2 linked regions of the Caenorhabditis elegans genome follow. The protein of the gene in region 2 interacts with the protein of the main gene of each other region in a pairwise test. Each region holds a gene or a part of one and is shown on either strand. Other genes may lie near its edges.

Region 1 (6,955 bases), on a different chromosome or scaffold from region 2:
ATTTAAATTCCCAATTTAAAATAAAAATTCTAGATTTAAACAAATTTATTGTCAAATGGATAATTGTTTTCTTGTTTTTTATAGTTGTGTGAAAAAAACCCTATGACATCATGGAGCCTACAAAAACAGGTTACAGAAACATGGTAACATTAAAAAAAATATTCTGGACGTTGAAACAGTCAATATATGATGTCCTGGATGGTTGTAGCCTACTTAGACTCCATCTCCCCCGGATCACTCTCTTATCATTACGGAACTTGCATTCGTATAAAAATTTTCCTAAATACTTATTTTCACTGCACTCATAATGTTTAGTAAAACAGTTGTTGTACTTCTAATGGTTGTGCCCGCAATCTCACTTGCGCAGCCAGCTTCACCACTGGTACTCAAGAAATCTCACGGAGCATTTTGTCATCTATGCGAGGACCTCATTAAGGTGAGTCGCAACTTTCAGTTAGAAAAATATATATTCTGTTTTCAGGATGGCAAGGAAGCTGGAGATGTTGCTCTCGATGTCTGGCTTGATGAGGAAATCGGATCCCGCTGCAAAGATTTTGGAGTGTTAGCGTCGGAGTGCTTTAAGGAGTTGAAAGTGGCTGAGCATGACATCTGGGAAGCTATTGATCAAGAGATTCCAGAGGATAAAACTTGCAAAGAAGCCAAACTCTGTTGATTTTCATATTCAATAAACCTTGTGAATATTAATGTTGATTTTGTAGGAAATTTTAAAAAAGCGAGTGAGACCAATTAAATAACAAGATTTTAAAACTGAAAATTTTTGCTGGAAATGTAATTTCAACAATGTTTTTATTGTTTGTTAATTGTGGAAGGTAGGGTAACTCATCTACGTTTTCGAATATTCAAATCAAAATTAAACTTTAAATTATAAAATTACCATTTTATCTTGTTAAATTACACTTCTATGCTCAAATCTTCAGGTTTTTAACTGAAATGTTTTTGCTGGTTTATGACATTATTAACCAAAATTTGCAGTTGTCTTCCACTTTTGATCACTGTTTGTGTTTTATGTCTGACCTGTGCTCTTTCCTTACAAAATCATCGCATTTTGCTACAGATAATGTCACTGTAATTGATAAATAGAAGCTATTTAAGCCACCCTGAGAAGTTCAGAATTAACAACTCAATTAATTCAGTCCTTCCTTATGGTTTCCATGAAAGAGTTTATTGGACGATGGAAACTAGTCCATTCGGAAAACTTTGAAGAATACCTGAAAGAAATCGGAGTTGGTCTTCTTATTCGTAAAGCTGCATCTTTAACAAGTCCGACATTGGAAATTAAACTAGATGGTGACACTTGGCATTTCAATCAATACTCCACGTTTAAAAACAACAAGCTCGCTTTCAAAATTAGAGAGGTAAATTTAGTTTTATGATTATAAAATGTTGTTTTGTCGGTTTTTAATGTAGATTCCGTTGCAGAAATTTGTTGAAATTGCTCCGGATGAGCGATCCTACAACACTTTGGTTACATTCGAAAATGGAAAGTTTATCAGCCATCAAGACAAAATAAAAGAAAACCACCACAGCTCTGTTTTCACAACTTGGCTCGAAAACGGAAAACTGTTGCAAACGTATCAATCTGGGAGCGTCATTTGTCGTAGAGAGTTTGTCAAAGAATAATCTATAAGGGATAACAAATTTGTTAAATAGAAGTTTCATTGATATTAATAAAAATTACAAGTCTCAAATTGATTTTTTTCAATCAATAAATTTTTGATCGCAGACCTTGATTAATTTCAGCTGCTTCCTTAACATGACAAAGTATTTTTTGCTCTAAAAATAAAAATCGTACTACGAGTAGTATCAAATGTTTCACAAAAGTTTAAAAAAGAGATGGTGTCGTTGCTTTGTGAGCCTGAGCATTTTTTGGGAACTAGATTTTTTATTTTATGCAATCAGCTTTCAATGATGTTGTTAAAGTTGAAAAAATAACTCATCATGAAGACTTTTTATTATTAATTTAACATGTTTTTATTTTTCTGATAATAGTTATTTTCCATGACAACATGCCGTTGAAGGGTGGTAGATCTATGAACTTTGATAAAGAACTCAATCACCCCACTTGTTTATCAGATGTTTCAACATTCAACAATAATAACTGTATTAATAATAAACTGTGATAAATTCTGCGGATAATAGTTTTTGTTGAATTTTTTTCACACATTTGTTTCAAGTTAAACTAACTATTTCAGTTATGATAACGCTGATTTTCATTCAATTTCGTGGAAATGCATTTATAGACATAATCTACTGATAAGTCATTTAATTTGCCGAATGTCTTTCAGTGACCAAACTAAATGCATAAGAGTTATACGTTTTTATTTGAGTTATCATATGCCAAAATTTTCATGAGTGTCACTGTGGTTATTTTTGCCCTTTTCTTTGGTTTTGTATGATTATTGAGATGCTCTGCTTAATGATGATTTTTATCCGGCTACCCTGAAAGTAATATATGTTTGCCTTGTTCCTACACGCTTACCTAGTATTAAAATACATGTAAAAATATGCCTGCCTATGCATCATATCTGGGTATTCAATTTATGTATATTATGGATTTTTTCAAATTTTCTTGTTTAATGCTGTAAACTTGGTTGTGTGAAAAAACAGACAACTGGTTTTTTGTCCTGAAATTCCCATTGCAACCTCATTTTCTTCATATTGTACGTGAATATATCGGAGGAATTCAAAAATGTGAAATTGTTCTTGATATCAGTTTGTGGCTATAATGAATTTTTTCGTTGGAAGCAGAAGTGTGTGTGTGTGTTTTTTTTTTTCGTATGGAATTTTGCATTACCTGTCAATCAAAAAGAACAAAGGTTTATGAGCAGCAGGAAATTTCACTGCAGATTGCTTTTTATCACTGTCTTGTTGAATCGAGAACTGATAATAGGAATTATCAACTTTAACAGTTCATCTTCTTTTGTTTTTGGAAAAAAGTTCTTAGCGTCCTACCTACGAAATCATAAAAAGGAATGTTTGTGTTAATAATAAATTAAACAGTTTGCAGTTTCAGTTGCATGTAAAAATGTGTAATATGACATCAGAATAGCAACAGTCGATACACGTGAACATGAATCATGCCATATTTTCTGTTTTCTCTACTCTGTTCTCCGTCTCGTCATTGTAGCCACCAAGAATACGTTTCCCTCTTCTCGTTGTACTTTGCGCTTCTTACCCGGCCACCACTTTTTTCTCCTTTATCACTGATTACTTTGATTGATAAATATCATCTCTCTTATTCTAACCCTTGGTGTCCCTTTCGTGTTGCGGCCCTCCCTTCAATCCCGCCTTGCAAAATCCCGGGAAAGTGCGCTCTACCGCAATTCTGCAGTTTTTTGACCCACGGAAGGGGGTTATTGCATGTTAGAGTGTTTGATGGTGTGATAATCTTATTTTTCCAAAATTTGGCGAGAAAAAACCTAAATCAAACATTAAAAAAATTTAATGATTTTTTGTGAGCAACGAAACAAAATAAATCGATATACTTATTTTATTACTGTTTTAATATAAATTCTCACGTTATTTTTTAAATAATTTTTCGACCAGAAAATTTTGATTAACTGAATATTATTACTTCGTGGCCCCGGAACGTGGTGTCCGATCAATAAAACAAATGGTGTCTATATTTCTTTGTGTCTCTTTGGGTGTCTTCTCTCTAAATACAATTGATTTGCACAAAAAATGTCTTCGTGTTTCGTGTAATTTACTCTTTTTTTTTAAATATTTTCTATTATAAGTGCTCACTGTTTGATATTTCAGGTTCTACAACATGGGTGGAACCCAAAATGGGAAAGCCGTGGCAAATGGAAAGTGAGTTTTCCCAATTTTCAAAAGTTTATAGCAAATATTTTTTTAGGGCAAAAAACGGAAACATTACGGAAAAAGTCATCAAGTTGGATCCATGTCCAAAGCCAGCGTTCTACGTATTTTGGCTTGTCCAATTGAATATTACAATGATGCTTGTAGGAGCAATGGTTGCCACTTTATTCGATAAATGGGGAATTGTGAAGACAAAACGATCAAAAGGAGACCCCAGAATGGAGGTTTGTATATCGATTTTTTCTGGTTTGAAACAAAAAATTCTGCGTTAGTGTTGGTCTTTGCCTTCCGGTCTGCACAATTGATAAGGTCATAAGAATGCGGAAATCATCAAAGTGGTTGCGAAAATGCACATAAAATGTTATCAGTCACAGTCTGATTCATTATATAAACCTTTTTAGAGCTTTCAACCACTTGGAAACAGTTTCGATGCCACGTACACAGATCATATCTATCGACAATCGACGGATGTTGTTAATCGGCCAATTAGTGGAGTTCCTGGAGCAATTGTTAGACTGAAAGATAGATATACTGACGATCATGGATGGACACAAAAGTTAGTAATTGAACGTGCATCACAGTTGGAATACATTTTTTGGTCGTAAATTTTCGAATTTAAAAATTGGAAAAGACACCAATTTTCGAAAAATATAAAATGTGAGACAGTAAGAAAAAGTTCAATTTTATCTGATTGCAAGATTAAAACAGTCACACCAAATCTTAAAATGAGAACAATTTTGTGAAATAATGTCTTTCTGATTTTTTAAAATTGTTACCAATTGGCGGAGCTTCAAATCAAAAAGTTTGCAGTATAAACACAGACACACAAATTCTGATTGCATTTTAGTACTGAAGAAGTATATAACTGCTAATAAAAATTTCCAGATACACGGGTACTGAATCAGAAGTGATCAACCTAGGATCTTACAATTATCTCGGCTTCTCGCATCGATCTGGAGTATGTGCCGAGGCAGCTGCTGCTCATATTGACAAGTATGGAATTAATTGTGGTGGATCTCGACAGGAAATTGGTAAATTTTTAAAATTGTATTTATTTCGCTGAAATTGCTCCGATAAATACTGATTACCGTTGTCTAAACATCTTTCACATTCCAGGTAACCACGTTGCACACAAATCAGTTGAAAGTACAATTGCCCAATATCTGAACGTCGAAGATGCGATTGTTTTCCCGATGGGATTTGCCACGAACTCAATGAATATTCCATCACTTGTTGATAAAGGATCGTTGATTCTTTCTGATCGCCTTAATCATGCTTCATTGGTTACTGGATGCAGACTCTCCGGAGCACATACAGTGGTTTTTCGTCACAACGATGCGAGTGATTGTGAACGAAAACTGCGGGACGCGTTGTGTGGAGTTAGCCCAAAAACTGGGGAAAAATACAATAAAGTGCTCATTATTATTGAAGGCATTTATAGGTTTGCAACTACTTAGTTAAAAATCTTAACTATTTCTGTTTTAGTATGGAAGGAACAATTGTCAACTTGCCAGCATTCATTGCTGTCAAAAAGAAGTACAATTGTTATCTGTTCCTTGATGAAGCACACAGTATCGGCGCCGTAGGGCCTAGTGGAAGAGGAGTTGCCGAGTATTGGGGATGCAATCCAAGAGATATTGATATTATGATGGGTACTCTCACGAAATCATTTGCATCGGCTGGAGGATATATGGGAGGATCAAAGGTTTGTAATTGACAGTTTTGAAAAATTACGAGCTTGTTCCAATAAGGAAACGTGTTAAAAAAGTTCTTCAAACTTTTCCAAACGTTTGAAAAGTTTTTTTATAGCGTACCCGACATCAATCGCGCAGAAACTCCATAAAAGTATAAAAATTGTTTTTTATTTATTTATTAATATTTCAGAAAGTCATCGATCACATTCGTCGATACTCTGCTGGAACTTGCTACGGAGTTACAATGTCTCCACCACTTATTGCTCAAGTCGAGAGAGCAGTTTTGGTATGTTATAACCTATATGAAAATATCAATTTTGGCAACCTTTCTTGAGAAATTCTCGGAAAAAAATAGTTCAAAAATTGTGACTTCCTACTTTTCATCATAACTTTTTGTAATTTCAGATCATGTCTGGAAAAGATGGTACAGATATTGGCCGACAGAAAGCAATTCAACTACTCGAAAATTCTCGATACTTCAGAAAAGAGCTTCGTAAACGAGGATTTTTGGTGTATGGAAACAATGATAGTCCAGTTGTTCCATTAATGACGTTTTATATTACAAAAGTTGTGTAAGTTCTTTTTTAATTTAATTTTGTTTTGAGTCTCTTCACCCAATGTTTAATTTTAGTGAATTTTCGCGAAGAATGTTGAAACATAATATTGGAATTGTTGCCGTTGGATATCCGGCAACTCCACTTTTGGAAGCACGTGTTCGGTTCTGTTTGAGTGCCGATCACACGAAAGAGCATCTTGATTATGTGAGTTTTGAGTGTGAGAGTTCTATAAAATTACCAACTACTTTCAGATTCTTGAAGCTGTAGAACAAGTTGGTATGGAAACAGGTACATTTTACGGGACGAAAATCGTCGACGAGTAACATTTTCTAGGAGTATTTATTAACTATCCTCGTTATTTGTCAGTTCTTCCCTGTTTCACTTCTACATATATATTCCCATTACCCCAATTCTTGCCCTTTGAATAATTTTTTTTCTGACTTTTATTTTTTATCTACCAAAAACTATCGAATTCCTAGGATCTTCTTCTTATATAAATTTAAATTTTCTCTTTTTCTATTTGTTTGTTTTATGTATTTTCCCATTGTTTTTTACACTTATTTCTTTCTAGGCAAACAATTTTCATGACATTTCCCACCAATTCTGCCTTCCTCCAACGCCATGCAAGGCAAACTTGAAAAACAGTTTTGAATGTATTGATTATTCACAACAACATAAAATTTAATAAAAATTATAAATTTTGATCATGTTTGAATCTTTTGGCAACATACTTCTAAAAAGCACAGTTTTATAAAAGAAATCGAACAGTTTTAAGGCATTTTTCAATGAAAAGGTTATCAGTTATCTATAGGATGACAATCCCCACAATTAAAACTATATGTCCATCATCATCATTAGCCATAC
Region 2 (11,538 bases):
ACATTGAAACAGCTAAAATTTTGGATTTTCACAGTGAACAATGAAGTTTTGCTGCTGTGGGCACAGAACGCCTGTTTGCGTGCCAACCAAGGAAATTGTCAAATTATTTTTACTTTCGAAAAAAAAAATTTCTCGATATTTTTAAATTTTTTTTTGAAACCGAAACTTTCGGGGTCTGAGCATTTTTTTTTAACGGTGAATTCTTTTACCCCGAAGAAGAACTTATTAAAATTGCCAAACGTGTTTGAAAATTAAAAACGTGTTGAAACAGTAAACATTTTGTTATTTTAAGAATTTTATAGTGCATCAAATGAACACTTAATTAATTTGAAGAAAAATTCCAAAATAGAAACTACTGTGTAGAAACAGTGAAAATTTTTCAATAGCTTTCGGATTTATTTTCCAGATAATTTTTTCCGTACGTTTTAATAAAAATTCCGAATTCTCGTCTATATTTTCTGATGACCCTGAAACATGAGCTCATTTTTTGAATTTTATTAAAGCAAAAAGACTGCCTACTGCCTGCCTTTAGGCCCAAAATTCAGCCAATATAGAGGCTGGAAGGCATACCTGTAGTTTAATTGGTCCCGTCAAGTATCAAAATATGTAAAACGAGTTTCATTTATGAAAACTTGCTGAAACCGTAAAAATTTACAATTACTTCCACAAATTGTATATTGTTAAATTCCACACAGAAGCCAGTTCTTATTAATTTGAAGCAAATTTTAAAAATATAGAATGCTATTTAGAAACAGTAAAAAATTTCGAATTTTCACAAAAAATAAAAAACATGATTCTTGTGATTCTTTGCTGCAGAAAAAAACGAAAAATTACTAAACCCCATGTATTTTCTCAGGACCTTGAAACATTAGCTGATTTTTCAAAAACTCAGAAAAAAATCGAGGTTCGAGATGATTCACTTGCCTTTTTCTACGTGTACGTCAGGGCTTCCAGGCAGGCGCAGTTTCAGTGCCTGCCTGAAACCTGCTCGCCTAACGCCGGCCTTTTACCTATTTCATGCGTTTTGGTTTGATTCAATTTTTTTGAAAATCAAATTAAGAAATTAAAAAAAAAAGAGTTTTCATATGTTTCAGCATAAGGTGCAGGTTGAGGCAAGAGGCAGGCGTAGGCCACCTTAAGGTCAGGCAGGCAGACGTTTTGACGCCTACATGGAATTTCTTTGCCGAATTTAAAATTTTAGTTTACTGAACAAAAAATGTACTGTTTCACGTATTCCATGAATTTCCATATTTTGAAAACGTGATATTAGGACACATCCCAGCCTGTCTTACTATTAGCCACCGAAAAACGTAAATTTATGTCTTTGGAATACCAATTTATATGTTTCTAATTTGAAACAAAATACTTCTTCGAAGTGTTACAAAATTGAAAAATGAATTCTTAACATGAAAAGAAGTCACAGCACGGCCGAGAATTTATTCGATTAACATTAACAATCTGAAACAGTCAATTTTTTTTGTCCAATTTTCTAAAACTTAAAGTTTTAACACTTTAGTAAGAGAAAAGTCAATCTGAAAATGAAAACTGCATTTCTGTCCTCCACTAATTGTTAGCTGGGAATTCTCTCTGAAATTCCTGATTTTAGTATCAGAATCTATTTGTCGATAGTGGTAAATCAATAACCCGATCAAAATATGCAAAACGAGTTTAAAATTTAATAACTTGTTGAAACAGTCAAAATTTCGCTAATTTAAAACGAGTAAAGATTCTGTATTAATTTAAAGCAAAAAAAAAAACAATTTGAAAATATTAAAAACCAGTTAGAAACAGTAAATTTTTTATTTCTCATGACCATGAAACATAAGCACATTTTCCAAGTTGGAATGCTCTGTAAAACGAAATAATTGATAGAAAAATTTCAATTTATATCTAACTGTAAATGACCCTTATTAGGATGTAATACAGAAGGATAATCGATAACAATTCATTTTCCATATTGAATATGAGTAACCTGAAACAGTAAACTTTTCATCCAACTTTCTGTAAATTTTGCTGTGCCTTTTGTGTTATTTCAATTAAAAATTGCCATTGATACTTGACTTATCTGAAACAAGATACATTTTTTCTAAAAATTTGAACTTGTAAGTCTTATAAGCTCTATTAATTACCTAGTTTGAACAAAAAACGAAACTTCAGCTCACTAACTAGTGAAATCGAACTTCGAAGTAATGTTTGACAATTTTTGCTTTCCGACAATAGCAGCATTAAACTTGAAAAAAATTTAAATATTGAGAAACATTATTCGATTCATATGTAAGCAATCTGAAACAATATATATGTTTTCTAAAATATTATACTACCTTCATTTTCAACACTGTATTACCCCATTTTATACATTCAGACAATATCAGTAATCTGAAACAGTATTGTTTTCTTCTCAAGTTTGAAATCTTTAAGGTTCCATATAGAAATAGCCCCAGTATAATTTTTTTTTCAATTTCTTTTTCCCGGTATATTCAGATTACTTGTCAGATTGTTATAAAATTTCCAGACTCTAAGCCAATTTTAAAACACGCAAAATTATTTCAGCTTGGCCGAAAAAAAATTAAAAAAAACTAAATTTTCGGTTTCAACACCACATTTTATAATCCTCAAAATGCTAGAACAGTAGTGAGAAATAATAATAGAACTTCATACACTCAGAATAAAAAACTGGAATAAATCTAGCAACGTATAAATAAAATGTTGGTATTTTTAAAGACAACTTGAAACAGTGGAAAAATGTTAAAATTTTCCAAAATTTCCGTCAAATCGTCGTTCACCCAAAATTTGAAAATTTTCCAGATTTTTCAAATTGTTTTCCAATAAAAAATATTTGAATAAAAACCACAAAAACATACATACTTTCGAACATTTTTAGAACATTTGAACAGTAATTTGTCGCGTCGAGACCCGATACAGTAATTTTCGCGCAAAATTTCACGGTTGGGTAATACAAGTAGAACCTTAAATGTTCATGTTCAGCTCATTTTATAATAACTTGAAAAAACCACTACTGTTTCAAAATTAATTTGAACGATTTTTTTTTTGAAAAAAAAAACATATTTTTCTCTAATCCCTCAATAATATCTCCATTTTTTTCCGTCCCCCCAATCATCACAGATATCAGCTGAGACAGGGGAAAAGTGGTGTGAAAACACACAAGTCTCTGCGTCTAGCGGTGTGTAACACTGTCTGCGTCTCTGTGCTCTCTTTGATACTCTCTCCCGTGTGTGTGTGTGCTCCTGGAGCTCTTATACATTTCCAAGTGTTTCTGCTCTCTGCATCTCTTGCCCATTTTCCGCTTTTTTGAGCCAACAACTTCTCATTAGTTTTTTCCTTCGAGTTCTTGTGCAGAGCCACGGCTCTTTCAACAACTCGCACAAATTGAAAGTTTTCGCAATTTTTTCTTGCATTGCACGTACATATTTTCTTTTTTTTTTTCATAATTATTGATGAAAATGAATATGTTTTGTCAAGCGAATATGCTACATTGAAAGTTTTCAGAAACAGTGAAAAATCAAATTGAAATTAACAAAATCTTTCAAAATTTAATCACTTATTTGAAACAGTAAAAAATTTTTTAAAGTATACGTCGATTCTGAAAATACACTGAAAATGAAATAAAATTCTTGAAACTGTAAAAAAATTTTTAACCAATTTTTTTTCACAAATTTTTCTTTGAAAACGTTTCCTTTTTATTACCTCCTTGTCTTCCCATTCCCTTCATTAAAAATCTGAAATTTCCAGACATGATGGGCTCATCGTCGCAAGAGCTTCAAACAGCTCTAACCGACGTCTCAAAGACCTGCCATCACTTGTGGGAAGAGAATAAGGACCTCCAAGGCAGATTTGTGAATGAACTCGGCGAGCTTCAACGTCTGCAAATGGTCATTGCACAGCTGGAACAGCAACAGAGACTAGAAAATGTATTCACTGTGAAACAGCAAATGACAGAGTTACAGAAAAGAGCAGCCACACTTTATGAGCATTTGACACAGAAAAGAAATGATATTGTCATTAAACTTAATGATGGCACCAATTTTGCGACGATGCTACAGGTTGGTTCTTCTAATGTGAAAAAATATGAAAAAAACATAAAAAAAATTTTACTGTTTCAAAGTTTTGTGAAATATGAATTAAAATTTTTTACTTTACTTGACTGTCGAAGACCATTTCCATTAAAAAACTCTAATACAAGATTTACTTTTTTGAAAAATCCTTCAAATTTTGAAGAATTTTGCATGTTCAGTAAATTCATGCTAAAAATATTTTTATTCTTTTAATGTTTCAAGTGAATGTTTTGTTTAAAAAAAGCATTAAGAAATCTTTTAATATGAAATTACATCAAAAATGAACTGAAATACAAAAATTAATTAAAAATTTAATGTTTCCCATGCATTTCATATATTGAACGCGCGAAAATGTCATACTTTAAAACTGGCCTGCAATCTAGCTCTCTTATCTGAAAAAAAGTTAGTTATAATATTTACAGTTTCACACTTTTATCAAATTTAATCTTTTTTTTCCTTTTACATTGATTTTGCATAAAATTTGACAATTTTTTTTAAAGAGAAATATTTTTAAAAAAATACTGTTTCACAGTTTAATCAAATTTTCTATGCGTTGCAATATTTTAATCAATCTTCATTTCCAGACCCAACTAATTGGCGAAAAGCTGTTCTCCTGGAAAAATGCCCAAAAACTTGCCCAAATCGGAATGCCTTTCGATAATCGCGAACAGCTGCTTGATGAAATTCAAATTGAATTCGAATTTCTCGCTGATCAAAACTGGCAGCTTAACATGTTCTCGTGTTGGATGCTCGACTTGCTCCGACGTGCTCCACAGTTAAATGATGGGCTCGCTCAGGCAACAATTGGAAAGTTGACTGCAATTACAGAACAATTGAACAAATTACTTTTTATGCTGGTTTCACAGAGTTTTATTGTTTCCGTTCAACCGGAACCTGTTTTGAAGACTCAACATAAATTTGTCACTGAGGTTTGTTTTTTAATGGAAATTATACATGTCAAATTTTGGTGGGTCCCGCCGCGAAAACCACACCGTCGTGACGAGACCCAACTTAGTTAGAATTCAAGCAAATTATAAGAAACAATAAAAAAAAATTCAAAAATTTTAATTAAAACTTTACCGTTTCAAAAGTCATTCAAATAAATATGTAAGTCATACTCAACAATTTTATTTAAGAAGTTCAATTCGAATATAATGTGTGCCACGCATTTGTTCAGCTTGAAAATTTCTGGGTCCCACCACAAAAACTACAGTTCCACCCCACCTAATTTTACGGGTTACTGTAGTTTCCGCTGTGGGACGCAGCAATTTCAGAATCCTGATTTTTCAATAAAATTACAAAAAAAAACTAAAATTTCCAGGTCCGTCTTCTCATTGGCGATAAGCTGGGAATTCGTCAACACCTGGTGAACACAAATGTTTCAGTGAAAATTATAGCAGAAGATGAAGCCAAGCAGTTGAGTGTTGACTATGATGCACATAAGGAAATGTGAGTTTTTTTTAATGAAAAATTTGAAACAGTAAATTTTTGAAAAATTGAGAAAATTTTTTTTTCTAAAACTTATACTTTTTCGTATTATTTTTATATACTTTTCTTATTTTTTGTGGTTAATTTGTAGTTGTATCACTATATTCAACACTAATATTTTTCAGCCGTAACAACAAGACAGTTGGCACAATTTCCAATGATTTCGAGAAGCTCACAATGAATGAAAGAGGACACTTGGCGGCAAAATTCAATAATTCAAAATTGACAAGAATTGCACACAGAAAACCGCCCCCAAAAGGAGCATCTGACTTGAAATGTGCAGCAAGTATGCAGGCAGCTACTGATCAGAAATATGCTCTTTTATTCTTTATTACACCTTTTCAAATGGGTAATTTGAGCAAAGTAAGTTGTTGATATTTCAATTATGACTTGATTTTTTTTGAACGTAGTCAGTAACTCAAACTCAAATGCAAAATCTTTTAAAAACAACGTGAAACAGCAAAACATTTATTTTTTATTTTTTCACTGTTTCAACAAAAAGTTTAAAATTTATTTCAAAATTTGAGTCTGATAAACGAACAATGGTTGAACCAAACATTTCCAACATTTCTTTCGGTTTTCACTTTGAATTACTGAAATTTTCTAACTGGATTAGTAAAAGCAGTAATTCTATATTCAAAAAAGTGTAAAGAAACTTGAGAATTTTCACTGTTTCAGCTACTCTTAATTTTCAAAATTTAATATGTCCTCCAATTTCTATCAATTAAAATTTAACAGGAAGAACAATTCGACGTTTGGACACTTTCTCTTCCAATAATGGTTACAGTACACGGATCTCAAGACTGTGACGCGCAAGTTGCAATTCTCTGGCACCGCGCATTCGCCTCAATCAGCAGAAATCCAAATACAACTGATGTGACAGCTGTGACATGGGACAATCTAGCAATAATGCTTCGAAACAAGTTCTCCTTATTCACGGGAGCACGTCGTCCACTTTCAGATTCAGATTTGGCATATTTAAGTGAGAAAATGTTAATGCCAAATGTGGCAGATCAGAAGCCAATCACATTTCATCGATTCGCAAAACAGGCAATGAGAGATGACTTACCATTCTCATTTTGGGAATGGTTTTTCTCAATAATGCAATTAATCAAACAAAAACTGCTCAAATTCTGGGATGAGGGATGGTGCATTGGATTTATTTCAAAAAATGATGCGTCTCAAAGTATGATGATGTGTCAGCACTCTTCATTTTTATTGAGATTCTCTGACAGTCAAACTGGTGCTGTATCGATTGGTTTTGTTTGTGAAGAGGCTGATGGACAAAAGATTCCATTTCATTTGGCACCTTTTACTATTAAGGATTTGGATCAATTGTCACTGGCAAGTCGTATTGCTTCATGTCCACAATTGAAGGATATTCGGTTAGTTTTAGACGCGAAAAGTTTACCATGTTGTTAAGTATGCTTAGTTACGGTCAAAAATGGAAATGTTTAAAAAAAATTGGAAAAATGAAAAAAATTATACTGTTTCACTAAATATTTTATGTGGTTAAGAAATTGGACAAAAAATAAAAAGTTCAAAAATACTACTTTTTCATTGAAGAATCATAAATAGCCTCAATTGCAATAGTTTGATATTTCTGTAACCACGAAAGTGAATTGAATTTTCACGCGATTACTGGGACGTAAGTATCGTACCTGCCTACGTACCTGCCTACCGCCTATTTTCTGCGCCCTGGCGGGAAATTATGTGATCTATGTTCTCACCGTCCAAAAAAAAAAAAACTTCAACTGTTTCACTTAAGAATTATATAAGTTGTTCCTTCTTTTTTTAATGTTAAGAAAATACTCCTTCATCTTTTCTAATTATTATAATTTGATTAAACTCTTTTCAATCAGTGATCAATTTAAACAAAAAATGTTAAAATTAAAGTCAGAAGTGCCAAATAAAAAAAAAGGGTAAATAAAAGTTAATTTTAGGAGTGAAAACTTAACAAGATGTTAAGTTTGTTCAGTTACAGTAAAAAATAAGTGTGAAGAAAATTGAAAAAATGAAAAAAAATTATACTGTTTCACTAAATACTTTTATCATTTGGTTTGAAGTTATTGCATTCTTATTGCATTCTCTTTCATAACAACAATTTTCGGGTCTTACCACGTTTTGAAACCTTTGAATTTCAAAATTTTGCTATGAAAACTGGCACATTTAAACAAAACAAATATTTTTTATGTGGTTAAGAAATTGGAAAAATTTGAGAAAAAGTTCAAATTTTCTACTGTTTCATTGAATAATCATAAATAGCTTCAATTGCAATCGTTTGATATTTCTAATCTTTGTGAATCACCCTGAAAAATATATATAAATAATGTTCACATTTTTCACATTCACATCAGTACTAAGAAATACACCTTCTTGCCTTGTGCTTACCTACCTACCACCTATTTTCTGCGGCCCGGCTGGAAATTATGTGATTTATGATTTCACCGTTCAGGCTGAAGCACTTTTGATAATATTTCTGAACGTGGATATAAATTATGTCAGCAGTTATTTTGAACAAAATTAACAAAAATTTGAAAAAAAACTTCAACTGTTTCACTTAAGAATTATAAAAGTTGTCCCTTCTTTTGTTAATGTTGCAATTCCGAAATACTTATTACAACAAATGCATCATTATAATTTGATCTAAATCTTTTGAAACTGTGATCATTTTACAAAAATATTCAAATGAAAGTTAAAATTGCCAATTTAAATAAAATACAGGAATTTAAAAAAATTTTTTTTTTTTCTATTGTTTCACTAAATAATTTTATATGGTTTTTTTCATTGAACGATATTGAAAATGGCATCAATTGTATAATTGTTAAATACACTTTTCTCCGTACTTTTTAGGTCTCATCACCATCTCGATACTGTGATTTTTAATAATTTATTATAAGAACTGTCAGCACAGCAGTTTTGAACAAAAAGTTTCATTTCCAAATATTTCATTTTTCTACTGTTTCATTGAATAATTATTAAAAACATCAGTCCCATTTTTCTGATATATTTTTTAAAAATATTTTTTGGATCCAATTAGTAAACATCATGAAAGTACATGAAATGTTAACATGAACACTTTCTATAACTGGACACCTCCTGCCTGCCTACCTACTTGCCTACCGCCTATTTTCCGTTTTTACTCCAACTGTAATTTTTTGAATTTTCTCGTTATAGGCAAAAGTGGGTTACAAATGACACTTTTTAAAATTGGATAATAACGGTGTGAAAATAGAATGAATGCAGAAACATGCGCTCGTGAATAATAACTAACTGAAACTGGGTGGAATTTTTACTAAAATAAAATCCGGAAATTGTGAAAACTGCACGGAGTAACTCAAAAAACTAATCGTTTTTATAAAAATTCTAAGGCAAAAAAGTTAGCCTGTCTGCCTACGGTGTAATTCTTCAAGAAAGTCAAATTTTGAAATTAGTGAATTAAAAAAAAATTATGCTGTTTCAGGTTGTTGATAAATTATCGGTTAATTTCTAACATCAGTAAACATCTCACATCTGGTCGAAAGTTTGAAAATATTAGATACAATCGATGTAAGGGCTGCTATGTTGGGCCGAAAATTACTGTTTGACTATAGGCAAGCTACGCCTGACGTGTGCCTTCTACCAGGGGAAGAATGTGTTTCATTTCTTTGCCATTAAATTAATTGAAATAATAACACTTACATTTAAATTTTCGGCTTAGTTGAAACAATGGTAGGCAGCAATGTAGGCAGAACGACTTGCCTACCTACAGCTTCAACAAGGCCTTAGCGCCTACTTAGAAAGCCTGATGAATTTAAAGCAATTTATTTTGGAAAAATGCCAAAGCATGTTTCAAGTTGTTCATTTTTCAAAGTCTAATATTCAAAAATATTAGTGAATCACTCAGTTTTTTTTTGAAAAAAAAACAAGGTCTCGCAACGGTTTATAATTCTTATTTTACTTTGAAAAATAACCGCCAGCCTATTAAAAATACGAATTAAAAAAAAACGCAAAATGAAAATATTTTTCTGTTTCACTGAAAAGAGATAAGATCATGGCTTAGAATTCGGACAATGCCTCTTCAAAAAATGACAAAAAATGTTTCAAATTGTCTATTTGTAAATCATGTTTCTGAAAAATTTAAATTTTTCCAGAAGTCGCAGATTTTAGAGTCGAGACCCAATTTTTAAGGTTTGACAAAACATTGACTTGAGCTGTAATCTCTCAAAATACATTGTAGACATGTAAAATGTGAAAATGTTTCTACCAATAGAAATTGAAATTAGAAAACAACAATTTTTCTCACAAATTCTTGAAACAGTGAAAAATTTTTTATTTCAACCGAGTTAATTAAGGTAGCAACACATAACTAACAGCGTTCCTCTTAACTTACAAATTTTGAAACATGAAATAAAAACCTCTAAATTTCAGATACATGTACCCGGCAATCGATAAAGAAGAAATGCTGCGTTTCTTCGAGTCCGAGGAGCGTCATCGCGTGGGCGGTGGTGACAGTCCAACTGGATATATTCAAAGTGAAATTGTCATGGTTGCAAAAACAAATGGGTAGGTTACAGATGGAAAGTTTAGAAATTCGGTTTATTTTAGGAATTTCAGACGAATGTCCAATGCACCGTCCATGTTTGGTGCAGATTCTCCGTCACCGTTGTCGGTTCAAAGCAAATTGGATTGGTCACCCGGGGAGGTTCATCAGAATCATATGATGGAGATGTGAGTGATGTGTTCAAAAAGTTTATGCGTTCGGGGGGAATCGAACCCCCGTCGAATGCTTGGAAGGCATCCATGCTGACCATTACACCACGAACGCGGCGAGAAGTCGCTTTCTCAGTGGCCGTTATCAAACTAATGACATCTCATCTAAAGTGACATTCGATAAAGAAATTTCCAAAAATTACAAAATGCGCTCCAATGCTAATTCCACTGTTTTTTCCAGGTCCGACGAACTTGGTCAAATCCTAACAGTCTCGGATATGTCGGGAGATGTAGAAACTCTATTGGGACCAGCATTCAAGAATAATATCACAAACTACAATCCACACGATGGAAATCATCAGCATAACCTTCATTTTGTGGATATGTCCCAACAGGGAATGATGCAACAGCACCACAATCAATTTTATCCCTCATAAAACACTATTTAAATGTTAAAACAGTCCCCCCAATTACCTCTTTTTGAATTTCTCTGTCTCCAGTTTAGTATTCATATCTTTGCTTCTTTCGTGCTGTCCATCTTCCTCAATTCTTTGATAATCTAATATTATTTTGACAATATTTACTGAAAATAATATTAATAATCACAAGTGATTTCTGATCTCATCCAATAAATTATTTTACTGTAAATCGAATGTTTTGATCTGTTCCACGATGGAGACAGGAAGCTAGAAAGTTTCATATAAGCACGTGATTCTAACCAAAAAAAAAAAATTAATTTTACTGTTTCAGGAAAATGTTATCAGTAAATGCAATTTCTAAATATCGATGGGGATCAAGAGCACGATCATAATTTAAACTGTAGGAGATGAAACTGGAGAAGTCGTGGAATTGAGATGAAAGAAAATAGAATAGAACTATTGTCTTCTCACTAAAGGAAAACTGAATTTTCAGACAAACATAACAGAAAACATGACATGTTCAATAACTTTTTCAAATATCTGTAAATGGCAAATCAAGCCCCGGGGATCAATTTCAGTTCTCTGCTCTAAAATATTTTCATATCATTTACGTTTTGCAGCATGGAGATTTAAAAAAAAGTAATGAAAACTATTGTCAGTTTTGAATGAAAATCATATATGTACTGTATAAAATTGCTGAAGTTTTGGATAATTATTAAAAAAATTCAAGACTCTTCAAGTTTATTTTCAAAATGTTGAAGAACTCTCTATCAGTCGATTTTAGATTTCAGTTATTTTCTCAAAGATATTGTGAGTTGAACGCATTCAAACACATACAAAAATATACAACTGTTATTAAAAACTCA

What was found. Proteins that work in one complex are often made in the same cells at the same time.
Region 1: the proteins of sta-1 (region 2) and sptl-3 interact in a two-hybrid assay, tested with the Caenorhabditis elegans proteins (one large-scale study listed by BioGRID).

What each region holds. Positions count from the first base shown.
Region 1 is NC_003283.11:13,889,623-13,896,577, forward strand, and holds sptl-3 (Serine palmitoyltransferase 3), read left to right. Parts: upstream 1-3,702; coding exon 3,703-3,719; intron 3,720-3,780; coding exon 3,781-3,831; intron 3,832-3,877; coding exon 3,878-4,064; intron 4,065-4,241; coding exon 4,242-4,396; intron 4,397-4,725; coding exon 4,726-4,871; intron 4,872-4,956; coding exon 4,957-5,281; intron 5,282-5,325; coding exon 5,326-5,545; intron 5,546-5,724; coding exon 5,725-5,820; intron 5,821-5,939; coding exon 5,940-6,106; intron 6,107-6,165; coding exon 6,166-6,295; intron 6,296-6,342; coding exon 6,343-6,414; downstream 6,415-6,955. Other genes in the region: spp-12 (Saposin B-type domain-containing protein), read left to right, coding at 308-436, 482-673; lbp-8 (Fatty acid-binding protein homolog 8), read left to right, coding at 1,164-1,376, 1,441-1,641. UniProt on the Caenorhabditis elegans protein: Component of the serine palmitoyltransferase (SPT) that catalyzes the first committed step in sphingolipid biosynthesis, which is the condensation of an acyl-CoA species and L-serine.
Region 2 is NC_003282.8:16,660,570-16,672,107, forward strand, and holds sta-1 (Signal transducer and activator of transcription 1), read left to right. Parts: upstream 1-3,750; 5' UTR 3,751-3,752; coding exon 3,753-4,061; intron 4,062-4,157; exon of another isoform or gene 4,158-4,178; intron 4,179-4,433; exon of another isoform or gene 4,434-4,454; intron 4,455-4,537; exon of another isoform or gene 4,538-4,558; intron 4,559-4,640; exon of another isoform or gene 4,641-4,657; coding exon 4,658-5,002; intron 5,003-5,015; exon of another isoform or gene 5,016-5,036; intron 5,037-5,198; exon of another isoform or gene 5,199-5,219; intron 5,220-5,394; coding exon 5,395-5,522; intron 5,523-5,645; exon of another isoform or gene 5,646-5,666; intron 5,667-5,686; coding exon 5,687-5,924; intron 5,925-5,952; exon of another isoform or gene 5,953-5,973; intron 5,974-6,092; exon of another isoform or gene 6,093-6,113; intron 6,114-6,299; coding exon 6,300-6,946; coding exon of another isoform or gene 6,947-6,983; intron 6,984-7,093; exon of another isoform or gene 7,094-7,114; intron 7,115-7,159; exon of another isoform or gene 7,160-7,180; intron 7,181-7,361; exon of another isoform or gene 7,362-7,382; intron 7,383-7,419; exon of another isoform or gene 7,420-7,440; intron 7,441-7,635; exon of another isoform or gene 7,636-7,657; intron 7,658-7,845; and 27 more. UniProt on the Caenorhabditis elegans protein: Carries out a dual function: signal transduction and activation of transcription. Activated STAT proteins play a role in repression of dauer formation.